Linked DNA regions of Notamacropus eugenii. The protein of the gene in region 1 interacts with the protein of each later gene in a pairwise test. Links are inferred from orthologs where the notes say so. Each region holds a gene or a part of one and is shown in the gene's direction. Other genes may lie near its edges.

The links.
Region 2: the proteins of YAE1 (region 1) and LTO1 interact in binary tests that used the Homo sapiens proteins (3 or more experiments, as listed by UniProt). The link is inferred for Notamacropus eugenii from reciprocal best matches to the Homo sapiens genes YAE1 and LTO1.

What each region holds. Positions count from the first base shown.
Region 1 is NC_092874.1:480,882,690-480,891,472, forward strand, and holds the start of YAE1 (protein YAE1 homolog), read left to right. Parts: upstream 1-5,069; 5' UTR 5,070-5,768; coding exon 5,769-5,903; intron 5,904-8,783. UniProt on the Homo sapiens protein: The complex LTO1:YAE1 functions as a target specific adapter that probably recruits apo-ABCE1 to the cytosolic iron-sulfur protein assembly (CIA) complex machinery. May be required for biogenesis of the large ribosomal subunit and initiation of translation.
Region 2 is NC_092873.1:21,947,461-21,955,801, reverse strand, and holds the start of LTO1 (protein LTO1 homolog), read left to right. Parts: upstream 1-4,827; 5' UTR 4,828-5,095; coding exon 5,096-5,145; intron 5,146-7,944; coding exon 7,945-8,050; intron 8,051-8,341. UniProt on the Homo sapiens protein: The complex LTO1:YAE1 functions as a target specific adapter that probably recruits apo-ABCE1 to the cytosolic iron-sulfur protein assembly (CIA) complex machinery. May be required for biogenesis of the large ribosomal subunit and initiation of translation.

The sequences.
Region 1 (8,783 bases):
CTTGTTTCCAGACCTGTCTCCTTGTAGCATTCACTTGTTAGTTCTAATGAGTCCTTTAGAGGGACCAAGAGTGTGTTCCTTCTTTCACACTGCTCTTCAAATATTTAAGAAGAGCTATGATGTCTCCTGAAATCTCTTCTCCCAGCTAAATATCCCAACTACCTTCTTTGGGTTCTGAAAGGATGTTTCCTGTAACACTTTTTTTCCTAACCACCCTGGATGCTTACAAAGGTGAATGTTGTCTTCTTCAGTCAAATGTAAGTTTCTTGAGGTAAGGGACCTCATTTCACATTTGTGTATGCTCAGTGCTTAGCACAGTTCCACATATAATTAGTGCTTAATAAGTGCTTATTGGTTGAAGAGCTGATTAAGGAAGTTCTAGCTTGTCAATATTCTTCTAAAAGTATGGTGGCCAAACCAGACACAATACCTCAAATGTGACCTGAAGAGAAAAAAGTAAAATCATCACCTTGATTTAGACATGATACTGAGAGATGGCTCTAACAAAAACAAAGTGGCAAGAATAGCTGGCCAGATGAAATCTATGTAAAGGCAGTCCAAGCTCATTGACGACTGATTGTCAAGAAATATGAAAGAGGAGGAGAGTCCAAATGCTTGGGGTAAGTCATCAGGCTGATAGTGGAAAGAACACTGGATTTCAAATCAGAGGATCTAAGTTTAATTCTATCCCTAATACAATTCATGTGATACTGGACTCTTAACCTCCCTGTGCCTCACTGTACTCATCTGTAAAAATAGAGTTCAACCATATGGCCTCTGCAGAAACTTCAACCTTTAAGTCTTGATCCTATGGCTATCGTTACCACATAAAAATAATAAAAATATCAATGACTCAACAATATGACCACTTTCCCATCTCTACAAAATCTTTATGAGGATAAATTAACGCATCTATCAAGGGCATCCATGATGAAGTCATGATTTTGGCAAGTGAGATTCTACAGATGACTCACATCTCTACAGTCACTGAAAGGTGCAGAGAAGACAGAATTCCACTGGATTTTTTCTTCATCGACCATGACAAAACATATTATTTGGCAGAGCAAAGCCTCTCATCAAAGGTTCTCCAACAAAGAGTCTCCCAGGCATACGGGAAAAATCATATGACTCCTCAAAAGATGCCATAATAATAGTGATAATAATCACAACTGTAATAATAGTCTGCATTTCTATAATCATCTTCAAGCTTGCAAAGCACTTATATAAATATATACATACATGTATATATAAATTTATATATTTATACTTATATGAAATTCCTTTATTTGCTCCTCAAAACCACCCAGGAAGGGAGGACTTATTATCTCCATTTTACAGAAAAGGAAAGTGAGGCTGGGTAAGGTTAAGTACTTTGCCCAGGGTCAAACAGCTGCAAAGAGCTCACTTTGGCAGTCAATCCTCTAATTATTCATATTAAGCAAGGCTTGAAACAGAGTAATAGCACCTTGCTAAGGTATTATCTAGCATGAAACATACAGATGGAACAGACTTTCCTATGGGTGGTCAGGTCCTCTGGAAGCTTCAGTTTACAAGTTCATTGAGTTGACCTTATCAAGCCCCAGGACACCACAGAAAGACCTCCTCAATGAAGTCACTTAAAACAATTTGCCTAAATGATATACACGAAAGACCTGGGTTCAGCTATGGTCTCTAGCACTTTGATTGTGTGACTCCAGGCAACAGACTTAATCTCTCAGAGTTCCAGACTATTCTACATGAGCTCCTTTTCCTTTCCAGAACTTTTCAAGCCCATAATAAATGAAGACTTGTCAACAATGTTGGAGAAGGGTTCTTGCTCAGGTTCAGGTTGGACTGAGGACTGGTCTAAATATAAAATTCTATGATTCTGGGATCCTATGAACCCCCTCCTTCAACAATTACCATTGTTATTTTGTGTGACACACACCATCTAACTGTCACTACCAGGGACATTACAGTGGCATGAAGGGCTTAGAGACAATGCATACATTGTTCAGAGCATACTATACAACCAGCCAGTATCCTAAGACTGATGCCTTGTCTGCAAGTAAGAAAGTCACAATTGTAGCCCTTCAATTAACACAGTGGATTCCCCAGATTCAAAGTATCCCCTCAAAAACCATAGCTTATGAGCCCCCACCAACGTGCTGACCTTCATGAGTCAGCCAAGAGCCAGAATTCATTCAAAGCAGATGTATCTAAATAAAATCAGTCCAAAGAGAGAGTCAAGGGATGAGTAGGTCAAACAGTGAAGCCCTTTTTGAGATAGGAGCAGAGGAAGAAGAAGAGCCCGAGGCCCTGACTGTGTAACTTCACTGAGGAAAAGAGTTCTGCAGATAATCTAGAAAATGTGTTTGCTATATGCTTTGGTCATTGCTGTGGTACTATATCAGGAATCTGTGATATCCCTGGTATAAGAATTCGTTCCACCAAGAAAGATGGCAATTCATGTTTTAGTTTAGCAAAAAAGTCTTGGAGTCAATTGCCTGATGCTCAAAAAAGTTAAGTGATTTGCCCATGCTCACACAGCTAGTAAGTCTCAGAGATGCAGATTTGAACCCACCTCTCTAGCTGCTAAATCATGATGCATTTCTACCAAGACTGATATCAACAGTTAAATGCTTTCTCCTGAGGCTGGCTGTTCTTGCATTCTAAAGTCACAAACCAGTACAGTATGTCACTCAATAGAACTGATGAACAGGCTAGAGACCCTATTCCTAAAATAGGGTTTTAGGAGGGACTTGGAGAAGAGTATCTATATTATTGAACTGGCTACACAATATTTTGTAAGCATCCCAACAGGCCAGAAACTTAGCAAAAGATACTAGGAAAGGTCATAGCCCTCCTGTAATTTAATACATTAAAAACAAATTGTAATTTTGCAAAAGGCCCAGATTTGTGAGCAGAAGACAAACAATGGAACAACAGAATAGGAAGAGTCGGGAAGAAGTTTTCTTTTTTAAGATCTGCACGTCTTTGAAAGGACAAGGGTAAAATACAAGCAGAACAGTGGACAGAAAATAGAGCGCCATCAAAAGCAGACAGAGCAGGATTTATGGAAAAGATACTGAACTAAAAACACAAAGTACACGAAGCATGCACTGTGCAGGAAGTTTTCGCAACAGCATCCAAACTGAGTCGTCCTGGATCCTTAACTTGTCACTTCTAGAAGCCCTTTCTCACGAAGCCGTGTCTGCTGCAGTCACCAAGGATCATTCACAGGCAGTGATAACCCACTCCCTCCTGGAAGTCCCAAGCTCTCAGCTGCACTTCCATCTGAATGAACCCTTACAAGGGTGACTGATCAGTTAAGCAAGCATCGGGAACCTTAGAGTTTCTACACAATGGTGGGGTTAGAAACCAGAATGAAAGGGCTTGAAAAGTGAATGGGAATTCGGTAATGGAAAGGAAGCAAAATAGAAGGTGACAGGCTGAGACTCTGGCTGGGTCAATCCATGACCCAAACTGGCTTAGACCTGAATGTTTGTAAAATGTGGGTAAGAAACCAGTTAAGTAGCTAGGGTGAGATGGAAATGGATACAGATGCTCAGGAGAGACAGAAGACAGCAGGCAGAGATGGAGAAAGCCAAGACAAAGAGAAGAGACAATGACTGATGATACAGATTTCTAGAGGAACTTCTGAAGCCATTAACCATGATGAACACACCATCTAGGCCCCCAATGTCTTCAATTTCTTGATAAAAATTTCTTCATTCAAAGCAAGGCTTACATACTTTGTCATGGCAGTATCGTTTCCTCCTAAGTCACCAGAAGATAGTAACAGTTCGGTTCAACAAGTTTTACAAAGTTCTGTCACATGGTACATGGAGGGCTTGGGTTCAAATCATGCCTTCACCCTTACTTCCCATGTGACCTGGACCTTAGCTCTCAGCTGAAAAATGAAGGGCTCAAACTAGATGCCCTATAAAGGCCCTTTCAGCTTGGTCTAGGTCCTCTGGTCCACACCCAGACATATTTATGGGTCATCTGCACAATGGGAAGAGAATACCACCCTTGGAATTCAGAGGTGCTAGCTTCAGGGTCCCACTAGTGCCTGGCTAGCTGTGTGACCTTGGGGAAGTCATTTGTGGAAGGAAGGAAATAAGCATGTATTAAGTGCCTATTATATGCCTGTCACTAGATTAAATGCTTTCAAATATCTCACTTGATCGTCAAAACCATATGGGAGGTAGGTGCTGTTATTCTCCCCATTTTACACTGGAGGAAACAGAGGCAAACAGAGGTGAAATGACTTGCCCAATGCCACACAGCTAGTGTCTAAGTTCACATTTGAACTCCAGTCTTGTTGCCCCTGGGGCAGGTCCTGGGCTGTTTAGCGCTCTGTGCACTGGGGCACTCCACAGTTGCCTCAACAACTTGTTTTCTTTGGAGTTCTGAGATCTCCACCTCCAAAATAGGTCAAATCCTTGTCCTACTCAAAGTGTTATCTGGAGGCTGCAAAGAGATCGTGATGGGAAAGCCAAAAGTTATTCATCACCTAAGGTATCGCTGAGTGCCAGGCTCAGTGGGGGCTTCACCAAGAGAACCAAGGCGGAACCCCTGACCTCAACGAATTAATCACCCAGTAAACCCTGAAGCGAAGAGCCATCCCCAAATGCATCCGGGTTGTGGATCCTTGCAAATCTCAGCAGAACTGATTGAGCCAAAGCTGAAGGTACCTTCAGCACGGTGGGAGAGGGGGGAGACACACAATGGGGTCACTGCCCTCCCCGGGCTGCGGGTCAGGAGAGTGCAGCCGAGATGTTAGGAACAGCAGAACGCGCTTGATGCTGGGCGGGCGAGGAGGTGCGGTCACAAGGAGGGGGTGGAGAGAGATGAAGCTGGACACAATGTATCCAGTGGGGAAAGTGGCGCCTGAGCGGAAGGACCCTGGAAAGACTGAGCGCAAGAGCCCAAGCTCAGCAGGACACCCTTTCCAGGTTACCAGCACCCCTCCCCCGCCCCAGCCCAAGGGCGGACACGTGATGGGCTCACGCTTAGGACAGGAGCTGCCCAGCTGGAAGAGACTTCTCAGGGGAGGGCACTCCCTCTACTGAGGCTCACAACAGCCAGGCACGACTAGACCCTCTCTTAGTGCCAGAGGACCTGAGTTCCAAATCTGCCTCTAAGCCTCCCTCCGTGTACGAGTGGGTTACAGAGGATAGCTGACGTCATAAAGCTAGTGTGGCCAGGGGGCTCTTTCCAGGGCATGCGCAAAAGCGCCGTCTGCAAGAGAGGTGGAGCTGTGGCTGCCCTTCACAAAGATGGCGACCTCAAACTTCGGTTCACCCCGCAGCCAACGATCCCTTCCGCACATGCGCAGAACGGTGAAGACGGAAGGGAGAGACGAAGGACAGCTTGCCCTTTATAAAGATGGCGATCACATGTTACCCAATGTCCTGACAACTCCTTTCCGGAGGCAGTGAGGAAAGAACAGTGGGACAGAGCAGAGTGTACCCTTCAAAAAGATGGCGGTCATAGTGCAAGCGCGCTCCGTGCACAGAATGGGGCGGGGAGGAGCTGTGCCCGCCCTCTCCAAAGATGGCCACCGTAGTACAGGCGTTTCTACTGCGGCTCCTTCCGGGGCATACGCATAAGAACACTTAGCGCGTGCCCTCTTCAAAGATGGCCGCGCAGTCACCCACCGCTGGCGGACTTCGCGGCGGCGCCCTAAGAACGAAAGGGTGGAGCTCTGGAACTCGCCTCACGATCCCCGGAAGCAGGGGCGGGCACTTCCGGGGGCGGGGCCCGTCGGCGGCGAGGTCGCGATGTCGTGGTTAAAGGCGGCATGCGCGAGACCCGGGCAGGACGGGGGCGCGGACGTGGACGTGTTCGACGACGAAGCAGACGAGACACTGCCGGCGCAGCGGGAGTGGAGGAGCCGCTTGGAGCGGCGCGTGCGGGTGAGGCTCGTTCCGGAAGCCCTCTATTCCAGAGAGGCGGGGTCAGCGTAGGGGAGGTGTGTGTGAAAGAGACAGAGGGCAGGGAGCGGAAGTGACGTTAGAGTCGTGCGGCCAATAAGTCGTGCTAGGGGCGGGGCTTCGATTCCGCGATGCCTGCACGTGGCGGTCGGCCCCTCCCCCTCGACCGGCTCCCTAGCCGTGACTTTGATAAAGCTGGGGCATCCCTCCTCCCACGTACGTGCTTTTAAAGGCATTTGTTTACAAATAAAAGGCGTGTGCAGGGTACTCTCCTTACCCCAGGGCCCGGGGCTGGCGGCGGGGACGTTGTGCGCCCGGTAAGGGGCCAGTTTGGAGCCTGAAACGCCAGTGCACCTTTGGAGCCCTCCCCTGAAAGCGAAAGCTAGCGTGAGAAGCCGGACCTGTGGGCAGCACGGTTGTAACTTTGTAAATAGACTCATCCACAGTAGCAAAGCTCGCCTCTGATACTCAGGGACTTTGTCAGTTACTGTTACCACCTTGTTAAAAGTTAGAACACGTTTGGTTTCTTCTACTGGCTATTGTATTTTCTTTTATTCTTATTTGTGTTAATGGCAGTTAAAATTAAAAATTAAGACCGAATTCTTTCCTTTTTGTGTGTCATGGACCCCTTTGGCAGTGTGGGAGAGGTAGGCTCTCAGAATTATAGGAAACCAAAAGTGAATGAGAAGACATAATCTTTTTTCCCCCATCCATGTCCATAGAACAACATACGATCAGAGAGGAGGGAAGCAAGGGCCAGTAACTGCAAATGAGATATCCTATAAAAATTATGTCAGGAGTCCTAATGTCGACGTGTGCTAAGGCTGGGGATGATGGCCACGGAGGACTTTTTTCTAAGCTCTGTTGGGCGTTGTCGATGGAGGTCAGATAAGGGATAAGGCCACTACTCCAAGGCCATGGGGTGTTGCTAACAGAAGGCAAATTTGCTCTGCTTCTGAGAACGATCTTTGGACCTCGAAGGTTAGAATAAAAAGTTGAAGCTCGAGATAACTGAGGTGATGATAAGAATCATGAGGTTCCAGGTCAGGGCCAGCTGCACCCCAGGGACCCAGAGGACACTGTCAATGACAGTCTTAGAAAATTTGTCAGGGATCAATTCCATAAGCATGTGTTAAGTGCCTACCATGGGCCAAACACCAAGGATATGAAGAAAGAAAAAAGACAAATGGTCCTGGGAGCTCAGTCTGATGCAGGGAGTAATCTGGAAGCAACCCAAGTCACTCCTCCATTCAAGAGTTTAACTTTTCAACTTGAAGCCTGTGTGTGATTTTATTAGTAACTTCATTTTCACTTTTATGTGGGCAGCCGCATGGACATTACACATTTGCAGCTCTGTGCAGTAGAGAAATAAATGAGAGGCGATCTGCATGCTGGGGTACTGGCCCCAGGTGTGTGCTTTAGGGAACAGTTCAGCCAAAGAGCCCAAAGGAAGGAAGATAGAGGGTAGCTGCCCCTTCAACCATCTCCAGCAACAAGATGACAGTTTGGGCAGTCTATTTCCCATAAAATCATATTTTTACTTTTATGCTGTTTTGTAGGAATGTTACCCCTGTGAAAGTTGAGGATTGACTGTAGGTACATAAGCATGGCTCAAGGAGGAAAAACGTGACTTCGGAATCCTCAGACCTTCTGGTGACCTCTCAGATTCTTTGTGTGACTGTGGACAAGTCCTTGCTCCCCCTGGGCCTCTGTGGCCCCATTTGTAAAATGAGGGGATTGGACTGGATCAGGCCTTCTGAGGGGCCACCCAGATTTAAATCCATGATTCTGCATGATCTTGAGGCCACCCTTAGCAATAGCGTAGTTAGCCTTCTAACAGGTCAAATGTCAGGAAGTACACAGCCCATCCTCCTGTGTCAGAGTGGTCTCCACTCAGTCCTTCCTAGCAGAGGGCTTACTCATGACTGGCAGTCACAGAGCTGTAAGACTGGGAGACCATCTCACATGTGTTCTATTTGATCCTCACACCAGGGCCATGCACTAGGTGCTATTATCCCCATCTTATAGAAGCCAAAGGAGCTTCTTAGATGCTGGATGGAGCTAAGAGATTGCATCCCACCTTGGGAAAGAAATGAGGGAGGGATGAGTGTGAATCCCAGCCAGGAGGAGCATGGCTGGGACAACAATTCCCAGTTTGACCAGCCATCGTCTTTTGCCCTGGGGGTGTTTCATCCTGCTCTCTGCCCCACTTGGAAGGAAGGCACCATGTGGTCCTGTACCCTCCCTCTCTCCTCATTCTTCTCCAGGCCTGCCTGCAGGAGCAGTGGCCTCTTGGCCTCCTCTCAGCTTGGACAGGGCTGGGGAGTTCACTGTGGATCTATCTATTCTCTGGCCTTCAACTTCGGACATTGTCAGGGCTGGTTCCTGGAAAGTCCCCTGAATTCTGGCCTCCAGCAGGTTTTGGGGGGAGGGGTGCCTGAAGATTGGAAAATGGTTTAGTCTAGAGAAGGAAGAGCAGTAAAGGTGACATACAGGTTACCACCAAATGCCTGTGTGGCTCTTTGTAAGGTTTCTCCTTGTCCTGCTAAGGTCCATTGGGAGGAAGGGACTGAGAAGCCTGTTTCAGCTCCATGTCCCAATTAGTGCTCTCCAAAGGGAAAAGACTTCCTTGGAAGGCACTGGTTTGAGGGTGGGGCAGGAGAGAGTTTTTTTCAAGGGTGTTGAATAACCAGTTCCTGGGGATATCATAGATCGCATTCTCATTCAAGTCAGAGTTTAACTAGATTAGTTCTGAGGTCCTTCCAGGCTGTGACTTTGTATCCTCTCTGACCCCTCACCAGATGCCAGTCACACTCTTCTGAACTCACCTCAGCCTTTCTCTAATCTGAAAATGTGGTTCCC
Region 2 (8,341 bases), on another chromosome or scaffold:
TCCACATGGCAGAGGAGCTGATCAACTGGAGAAGGGATGCTTGGGACCCAGATCAGACCATCCACACTGGTATGGAGGGTGGAGTGGCCACTGAAAGCCTTTCAAAAGAAGGGAGGAGAAGTCACAGAAGGGAGAGAAGTCAGTGGGCTCCTGTTGGTAAATTGTAGCTTTGGGGCAGGTTTAGAGAGAGATCATTTGTGACCATCTGGGAGGAAACCCATAGAAATGAAAACACCCAGAAGACCCTTCCCATCTCTACAATTCCATGTTTTCAGTTGTAAGGCATCTCCCAGTGTGGACTTTCTGTGTTCTATACTTTGAGTTCCTTCTCTGTTCTACTAGTTCTTGTTCTAAGATCTCTTCCAGCTCTGATTTTTTGTGTTTTCATTCTGACATTCAAGGTGTCAAAGCTCTATCAAGTACAGACAGTTTCTGTGCTAAGATCCCTCCCAGCTCTGATACTCTAGGTGCAAAAGGCCCATCAAACATCAACAGTCTATGTTCTATGTTCTAAGGACCTTGCTGCTAACATTCCATGTTCTGAGGTCTCTTCCAGTTTTGATAGTCTATTTTCTTATCTTTTGAATGTTTCAAAAGAGATTTAAGGTCCCTAGGATAAAACCACACTCTAAATAAAGTCAGCGATTAAATGGCTCGGTATTTAATGAACCTGGCCCCCTCCCCACTTTGGTGGACTTGGTGAGCCTGCGGCTATCATGGAGAAACAGACTCTGTAGGGTCAGGGATCAAGAAGATGGACTGAGGCTAGCCGGGTCCTTGGCCAACATCTCTGAGTCATGACCCCACTGGACAAATGGGTATCCCTCCATCAAATGGGGAGGTAGACACTGGTGTAGCCTTGCTCTCAGTCTTAACCTCCCACTCTCTGCCTGAGCTGCTGATGGGGCTTTGGTCTTGGGGACTTTGGCTCCTCAGAGCAGGGCAGAGGAGCCTACATTGGGGCCCTGGAGAGGAAGGTGGTGCGCAGGGATATGGGATGAGGGGACTGTCAGCTTCTTCCACTGAACCTTGATGCCTCCCAGTGGCTGTTGGGAAGCGATAAAGGAGCATCTGAAAAAGCCAAGCAGGATAACATTTCTGGGATGCGGGTTCCATCTAGTGGCAAGAGCGCTTTCCAGTGACCGCTGCCTTGTAGCCTTAGCCTTGAGATGAGTGATGCTTGAAAGTCTGAGACTTGCATCCAACCGCCCAAACACTGGACACGGTCAGCTTTGAATCTACTCCTTGTCTCCCATGAAGAGGTGACCTTCTCTTTGGCAACACTCTCTGTCACCCCCCTCTCACTCCTCTTCCATCTCTCCTAGTGTACTGCTGGCTCGCTCCCTTACTACCTCCCAACATGCCCACGTCTCCCCCATCCTCAAAGATGAAAACCAAACCCTGCCCTGAGCCACCCTCCCTCCCAGCTCTCATCCAAGGCCTTCTCCCTATTCCCCGGGGGATGGGGGGCAACTTATTCCTTCCCCGGGAAATAGCCCTATACGGTGAGATGGAATCCACTCAGCACGGACCCTGACTGGACAGAGGGCTGGACCCTGGGCTCCAGGGCAGGACCAGGGATTTCTCCTCAAGTCCCACAATTGTGCTATCGGGACCTCTAGGATACCCTCCATCAAGTTCCCACACCCAATAACTTCTCAACCCCACCTCTTTCCTTCTGTATGCTGACTTCCCCCATTGTAATGTTTATTTTTATTTATATCCCCAGGGTTTAGCTCAGTTTCTGTACACAGTAGGTGCTTAAGAAATATCTGTTGACAGTAAAGTCAGTAGAATCCCTCTCCCACTCTGATCAAGACAACAATCCAAGACAATTCCAAAGGCTTCGTAATGAACAATGCTATCCTCTCCCAGAGAGAGAGAGCTGATGGAGTTCGAATGGATGCATAATTTTCTGTATTTAATTTATTTTTATTTTTTCCTCATTTAATTTAACAATTTTCTTTCTTTCTTTTTCTTGCTTTCTGGGTGACATGCTAATATGGAAATCAGTTTTGCATGATTTCAAATGGATGAGTCATATCCTAGCTAGCCTTCTCAGTGGGTGGAGCAGGGATGGGAGGGAGGAAAAGAATTTGAAACTCAAAAGAAAAAGAATATTAAAAAAAAATAATATGTTAGGGAAAATGTTTATTGACTCCCCTTTGTGGCAAAGCTCCTCAAAAAGGTCACCTCCAAGGGGTGCTTACGCTTCCTTTCCTCTCACTCTTCTTAATTCTCAACATTTTGGCTTCTGACCTCATCATTCTATTGAAACTGTTCTCTCCAGCGCTCCCAAAGTTCTCTGGGTGGCCCAATCCAATGATCTCCTCTGCAGCGTTGGGCCCTGGGGACCACTCTCTACCTTGCCTCTTACACACCTGCTACCATGGGTGTCCTACAGAACCTCTTCTCCTTTAGACTCTCTCACTTGGTGATCTCATCAGTTCCCATGGACTCAATTATCTCTATGATGATCCTCAGATCTCCTTATTCAGCCTTTACTGTTGTTGACCCCTGACTCCCATTTCCAACTGGACATCTCAAACTGGGTGATCAGCAAACCTTCTAAACTGAACTTACTCCTTCTTCTCAAATCTTCCCCTCTTCCAAACTGCTGTTGCAGTTTAGAGGTGCTGAGAACACCGAAATTCAAGGGTAAATGATGCAGGTCCTGCCTTGAAAGAATTTGACTCAAGCCTTCTTTCAGACAGAGACAGAGTTTATTAAAGCATGGGTTGAGGTGGGCAAGATTTTAAGAATTTGCCCTGTTGGCCAGATTTTAAGAATCTGAGCCTTGGTAATGCCCATACAACTTTTACAGAATCTGAGTGATCTAATGGGGGAAAGATGGACACATATATACTGGTCAAGGAGTGGGTCTAGATGGAATCAAGGAATGGGGGTCTAGGGTGCAAGGAGGGTCACTATGAAAGGGCAGTTAAAAGAATTCTTCCAGGAGCCTCTGGTGAATGTGGAGAGGAGGGGGTTCTGAGCTGGCAGGCTGGGTTCCTGTAATTCATGGGAAAGTTCAAAGGGGGAGGGATCCAAAGCCCACAGCACAATACTGTTACTATCCTTAAGACCTTTAGGCTCACACCCTACCATCCTCAGTTCCTCACTCTTCCCTCACTCCCTTATCTTATCTGTCACTGAGTCCTGTGGATATTCTCATACCTGTCACCTGCACAGTAAACCCCTTTTGCCACAAGTCTTTCTCCACTCAACACCTTCTCAAACTGGCCCCTCCTAAGTACTTGTCTGACCATGTCAGCCTCCTAAATTCCAATGATTTCCTGCCACATTCAGAATCAAATACAAAATCCTCTGTTTGGCATCCACAGGCCTTCATCATTTAATCCTCTCCTATGTTTCCAGTTTTTTCTATCTCTGTGACCCCCTACTCTTCAGTCCCATGATTATTTCTCACACACTCCATCTCCTGAACCCAGGTATTTTCCATGACCTTTCCCTTTCAAGCTCCAGCTAAAGTTCCACCTGCAAAAATTCTTCCTGGGTCTGCCTGAATGCCAACATCTTCCCTCTGTTCAGTAACTCCAACTCACCCAGTACACATTTTGTTTTTACCTGCTGGTTTACATATCACCCCTCTTGGCTGTGAGTTCCTCAAAAGAGCTTTTTGCCTTTCATTGTATCCCCATAAGAGATACTGACTCATAGTAGGCACTTAGTACATGCATGTTGACTGATTGACTCCAAGGGCCTCTGTTTCCTTGCCTGTAAAATCAGGGAGTTGAACTCCATGGCATCCAGTGATCAGGGATCCTCTGAAGCTCTGTGTTTATGATGCCATGACCCTATCCATGGCATAGGGAGCCATATAGGCATTAAATGCCCAGAGGGAAAGAGCAGCAGAAACAGTTCTGTGGACAGTAAATAACTGCTACCCTTTGCCATGACCTCTGCAAGCACAGAGGGGTACAATGGAAGCCAAGTCTGCAAAGGAGCATTAGTAGAATCTCTGGTTTGGAAGGAATCTGAGTTCTCGAGTCCTTCCAACCCCACATAGGAATCAGTAGAATTTCGCTGTTTCTCCTGCTTGTGTCCCATGATGGAGAACAGCCTCAGAGTAGATAAAAAGAAGTCCTCAGTGAGGGTCAGGAGACGTTGAGCTGTACCAGGACCCCCAAAAGCTAAGAGCCCCAAGGCTTTGTCTGCTCCGAGTTTAATGAATTGGGGTCCAAGCCTGAGTCAAATCTCCACCAGGACTGGAGTTCCCCAGGGGTGGCCCCGGAGTGAAATGACCTGTGGGTCGGGTCCCCGGACTCCAGCAGTGCAGGACGATGCGGGAGAGCCCGGAGGTTCGGTCCAATTCCCTTTTTACAGCAGGGAAGACAGGAATCGAGGGTCGGGGATCGGGATCCAAAGCCAGCTATGCCAGAGGCAGGGATTCCCTGAAAGGGGACCCCAGCTTTCTCATCTGGGGGGGTAGGGTGACAACCAGGGTTCCCCCAGATCCTGGGGCTTTAGGGGCTCTCCGCCTTGGGGTTGGGGGGACGTAAGTAAACGAGAGCCTGGGGAGGAAGCATTTATTAAGTCCTGACTGTGTGTCGCGCACCCGAGCTAAGCGCCCGAGCACGCCAGAGGAAGAGCCCTGGAACTAATCGTCCCCTCATTTTGCAGGTGGGGAAACTGAGGCAGAAGATGGCCTCCCAGGACCCCAGACTTTGCGGCGTGTCTGTGTGTTTTGTACCTCCATCCATAAGCAAGGATTAAGCTCCGCGTGTTTGCGCTGCTGGGAGACTGCGGACCAGAGCCGGGAAGACTGGCCTGGTTCTTCCTCTGGCCCCGCCCAGGCCCCGCCCAGGCCCCGCCCTCTCAATGTCAGAACCCCCCCCCCCCCATCAGTGGTTGCAGCCAGTCAGAACGCCCTTTAAGGGGGCCTGGAATGTGCCATTAAAGGCAAGGGGGGGGTAAAGAAAGTCCGGCGCCTACTGAGCATGCGCCATGACCTACGCTTCTCGGGCCCTCCAGCTCGCCGTAGTCTCTGTCCCAGCGGCCTCTGCGCGGCCGGCCCGGCTCGGGAGGGGAGTAGGAAGAGGCAACCACTGGTGGGCCGGAACCGAACCGGGTAATGGACCGGCCCCCGGACCTGTTCGATGCCATCGTGATGGCGGAGGAGAGGTGGGTAGGCTCCCGCCGTGCCTCAGTCTCCCCGGCTCCGCCCCGTCCGGGCACCGGGTGCAAATCCTACCCGGGCCTTGGGCTTCCTTCAGGGCAGAACCTGAGGGGCGGGGCCGGGGCTCGGCCCAAGAGATCCTCCCCTCCCCCTAGGGGCCTGGGGAGGGGGCGGGGCCAAGCTTTGGGAGAACCCTTGGGGTGACTGAGGGGGTCCGTCTGCCGGTCCGTCCGTCACCCCGCCCGCCTGTCGGTGCGTCCCTCCGGAGGCGTCTTCATTATTGCTATGAAAATGGTTTTGTCTTCACAGATCCCTCCCCCCAAAAAAGGTCAGGGGGGCCGCCGCTGTGTGACCCTGGCCCCTCCCCCCACAAAGGTCAGGGGGCCCCCCCGCTGTGTGACCCTGGCCCCTCCCCCCACAAAGGTCAGGGCCCCCCCGCTGTGTGACCCTGGCCCCTCCCCCAAAATGTCAGGGGGGCCGCCGCTGTGTGACCCTGGCCCCTCCCCCCACAAAGGTCAGGGGCCCCTCCGCGGTGTGACCCTGGCCCCTCCCCCTACAAAGGTCAGAGGGGCCCCCCCGCTGTGTGACCCTGGCCCCTCCCCCCACAAAGGTCAGAGGGGGCCCCCCCGCTGTGTGACCCTGGCCCCTCCCCCCACAAAGGTCAGAGGGGGGGCCCCCCCGCTGTATGACCCTGGCCCCTCCCCCCACAAAGGTCAGGGGCCCCCCCTCTGTGTGACCCTGGCCGAGCCTGTGAGGTGGGCCAGGCTCTGCTGAGCCGACCGTGCACACAGTAGGCGCCGTCCTTTCTGGGCCGGGTCCGCCCGGGTGTGGCAGGTGCCGAGGGGGCGCCCCCTGTCCGCGCTGGTCCGTCTGCAGGTTCTCGTCCCCTCCGAGTGTCCGAGGTGGGAGCGCACCCAGTCTGCAAAGTGCCCTTACGGCCCGGGCTGGTGGGGTGGACACCCCTTGGGCCTCCCTCCTTTTTTCTCCCTTGTCCAGCCTTCCTCCAGCCGTGGGCCTCGTCCTCCGACATCAGTGCAAACGTGCCCTTGGTTTGGCCAAGGTCCGGCCTGGGGCCGCGGTCAGTGGTCAGCGGTCTGCGTCACTGCCATGGCCGGCGATTCAGGCTCAGGATTGGAACCTCTGGGAGAACGGAAGCAGAGCGCCCCTGCCCCTGCCGCCTCCCCCTTGGGGAGAGCCCACCCTGCCCCCTGCGCCCCTGGACTTTGGTGTCCAGGAAGCCTCCAGGGAAGACTGGGCCAGCCTGCCCCACGTGAAACAGGACCAGGAGGCGTTGCAGGAGTGGGCACGGGGCAGGGCCAGCCGTCTCTGAAGGCGAGGCAGGGGCAGCTGATGGGCCCTTCATTTTACAGTTGAAGAAGCCCTCCAAGCCCCCTCTTTCCACTGCTCTCTGAAAGGAGGAATTAGGTTAATGTTTAGAAACAGCGTTAAAACGTGATCTTAGCATCCGTTCCCTACCCTATTAATACCCTCCTTTTCTTTTTCACCCCACACTCAAAGCATTCAGCTTCTCCAGGCTGGCCCGGTCATACTTGGCAGGGGCTGCTGACTTCATGCTGGATGGCCTGGTACCTGTCCACAGGTGTGGGGGGCAGAAGTCCACACCTTGGGGCATCCTCAGGAGGGCAGGTGCTGGCTTATTTGGTCACTGGATCACTAGGCCTTAATCAACCCTTAATTATCTGTGTACATTTTTTAAGCCCTAGGGGGCTAAGTGTTTGTACAACCTGGACAAGGTTTGAAAGTTGTAGCCCTCCCCATGTTCTCCACACTCACCGGAAGAAGCTTTGGATTGTCTCCTTTACACTGACAGCATTTTATCAGTGAGAAGACAAGATGTAGGCAGACTTGAGTGGAGATCTGCATCAGAGAGAAGACACCAGCAGTCAGGAGGACCTGGAAGGTGGGCTTTGGGCGGAGACCAGCCAGGAGGGCACTCCAGGCCTGGAGGGTGGCCAGAGAAGATGTCCACAGGCAAGAGCTGGAGGCCAGTGTCCCTGAGTCCAAGAGGAAAGGGGACTTTAGACACCCAACAGAAGATTTTTTTCTTGGCCCTAGAGGTGATGGAGTCTTTCTGGGGTACTTCCTAAGCCTTTTTGTCTCTGGAATGGTTCCTTGCCATGGACTGAGAGTCAAGGGACTGTGGTAGCCCCCCACCTCCAGAGGTCTCAGCCTTGCCCCACCACGTTGCTGTCCCCTTTCCAGTGCTTGAGCCATGATTCTATGAGGACCATCTTTGTTGCAGGAAAGGTGGGCCTGGCCACTGCAGTCTCCCCCTGTGTCAGCATCCCTGGGGATTAGTGCCGTGCACAGCCATGCCTCTCACTCACACCCACATCACAGCCATGCTGTGCACCCAATGGCATCATGGCACTACTGAGGTTTGAACAGGTGAAGGGGCACCCCAGGAAACGAAAGGTGACTTCTTCCCAGACTCACCCTTTTTCTGCTGTGGCTACAGCGGGTTCCACCCCCTGAACATGGGCCAGTCGCCTGTGGGGCTCCCTGACCACATGTCCCGCTGCAGTTCTCCAGAGAGAGCATCTCTGAGGCCCCTTCCATTGCGGGCCAGGAAGTGTGATCAGACTGGCACGTTGCCCCATAGGACAGGGGTCGCTGAGTCTTCTGTGGCGTGTTCTGCAATGTCATCCTTCGTTATCCTTTATCATCACCACCTTTGTCTTCACTGGCAAAGAGCCGCGAGTCCTGCCACCACAATGGCCGTGGGTCCTTGTTCTGTAACTGCCCCCTCTTCAGGTTTATCTTGTGTGTTTTCTCTGTCCCAGGTATCATGGCGAAGGCTATCAGGAAGGTTACACTGAAGGCAGCTGTCTGGGTCTGACCGAGGGGAGGCAATATGGAGTGTCTCACGGCGCTAACATCGGGTCTGAGGTAAATAGAAACCCTTCTGAGGGGGGAGAAGGGAGGAGCCTCCTGGTGACTGGGCCACCCAGGGGGATCTCAACTGGCAAGGCCTGATCTGGAGGCATCATTTCACTGGGAATGTAACTGTTTTAAATGGGCCAGAGAAGCAGGGCCAGGGCCTAACGATGATGTCTCAGGTCTTGTGGCTGAGGGTCTCATGTGGCTGAGGGTCTCATGTGGCTGGGTCACATGGGCTGCATGCCAGGGCTTTTGCTCCCTCAAAGCTGGTGATATGGGCAAAAGCTAGCATTTTGCTTC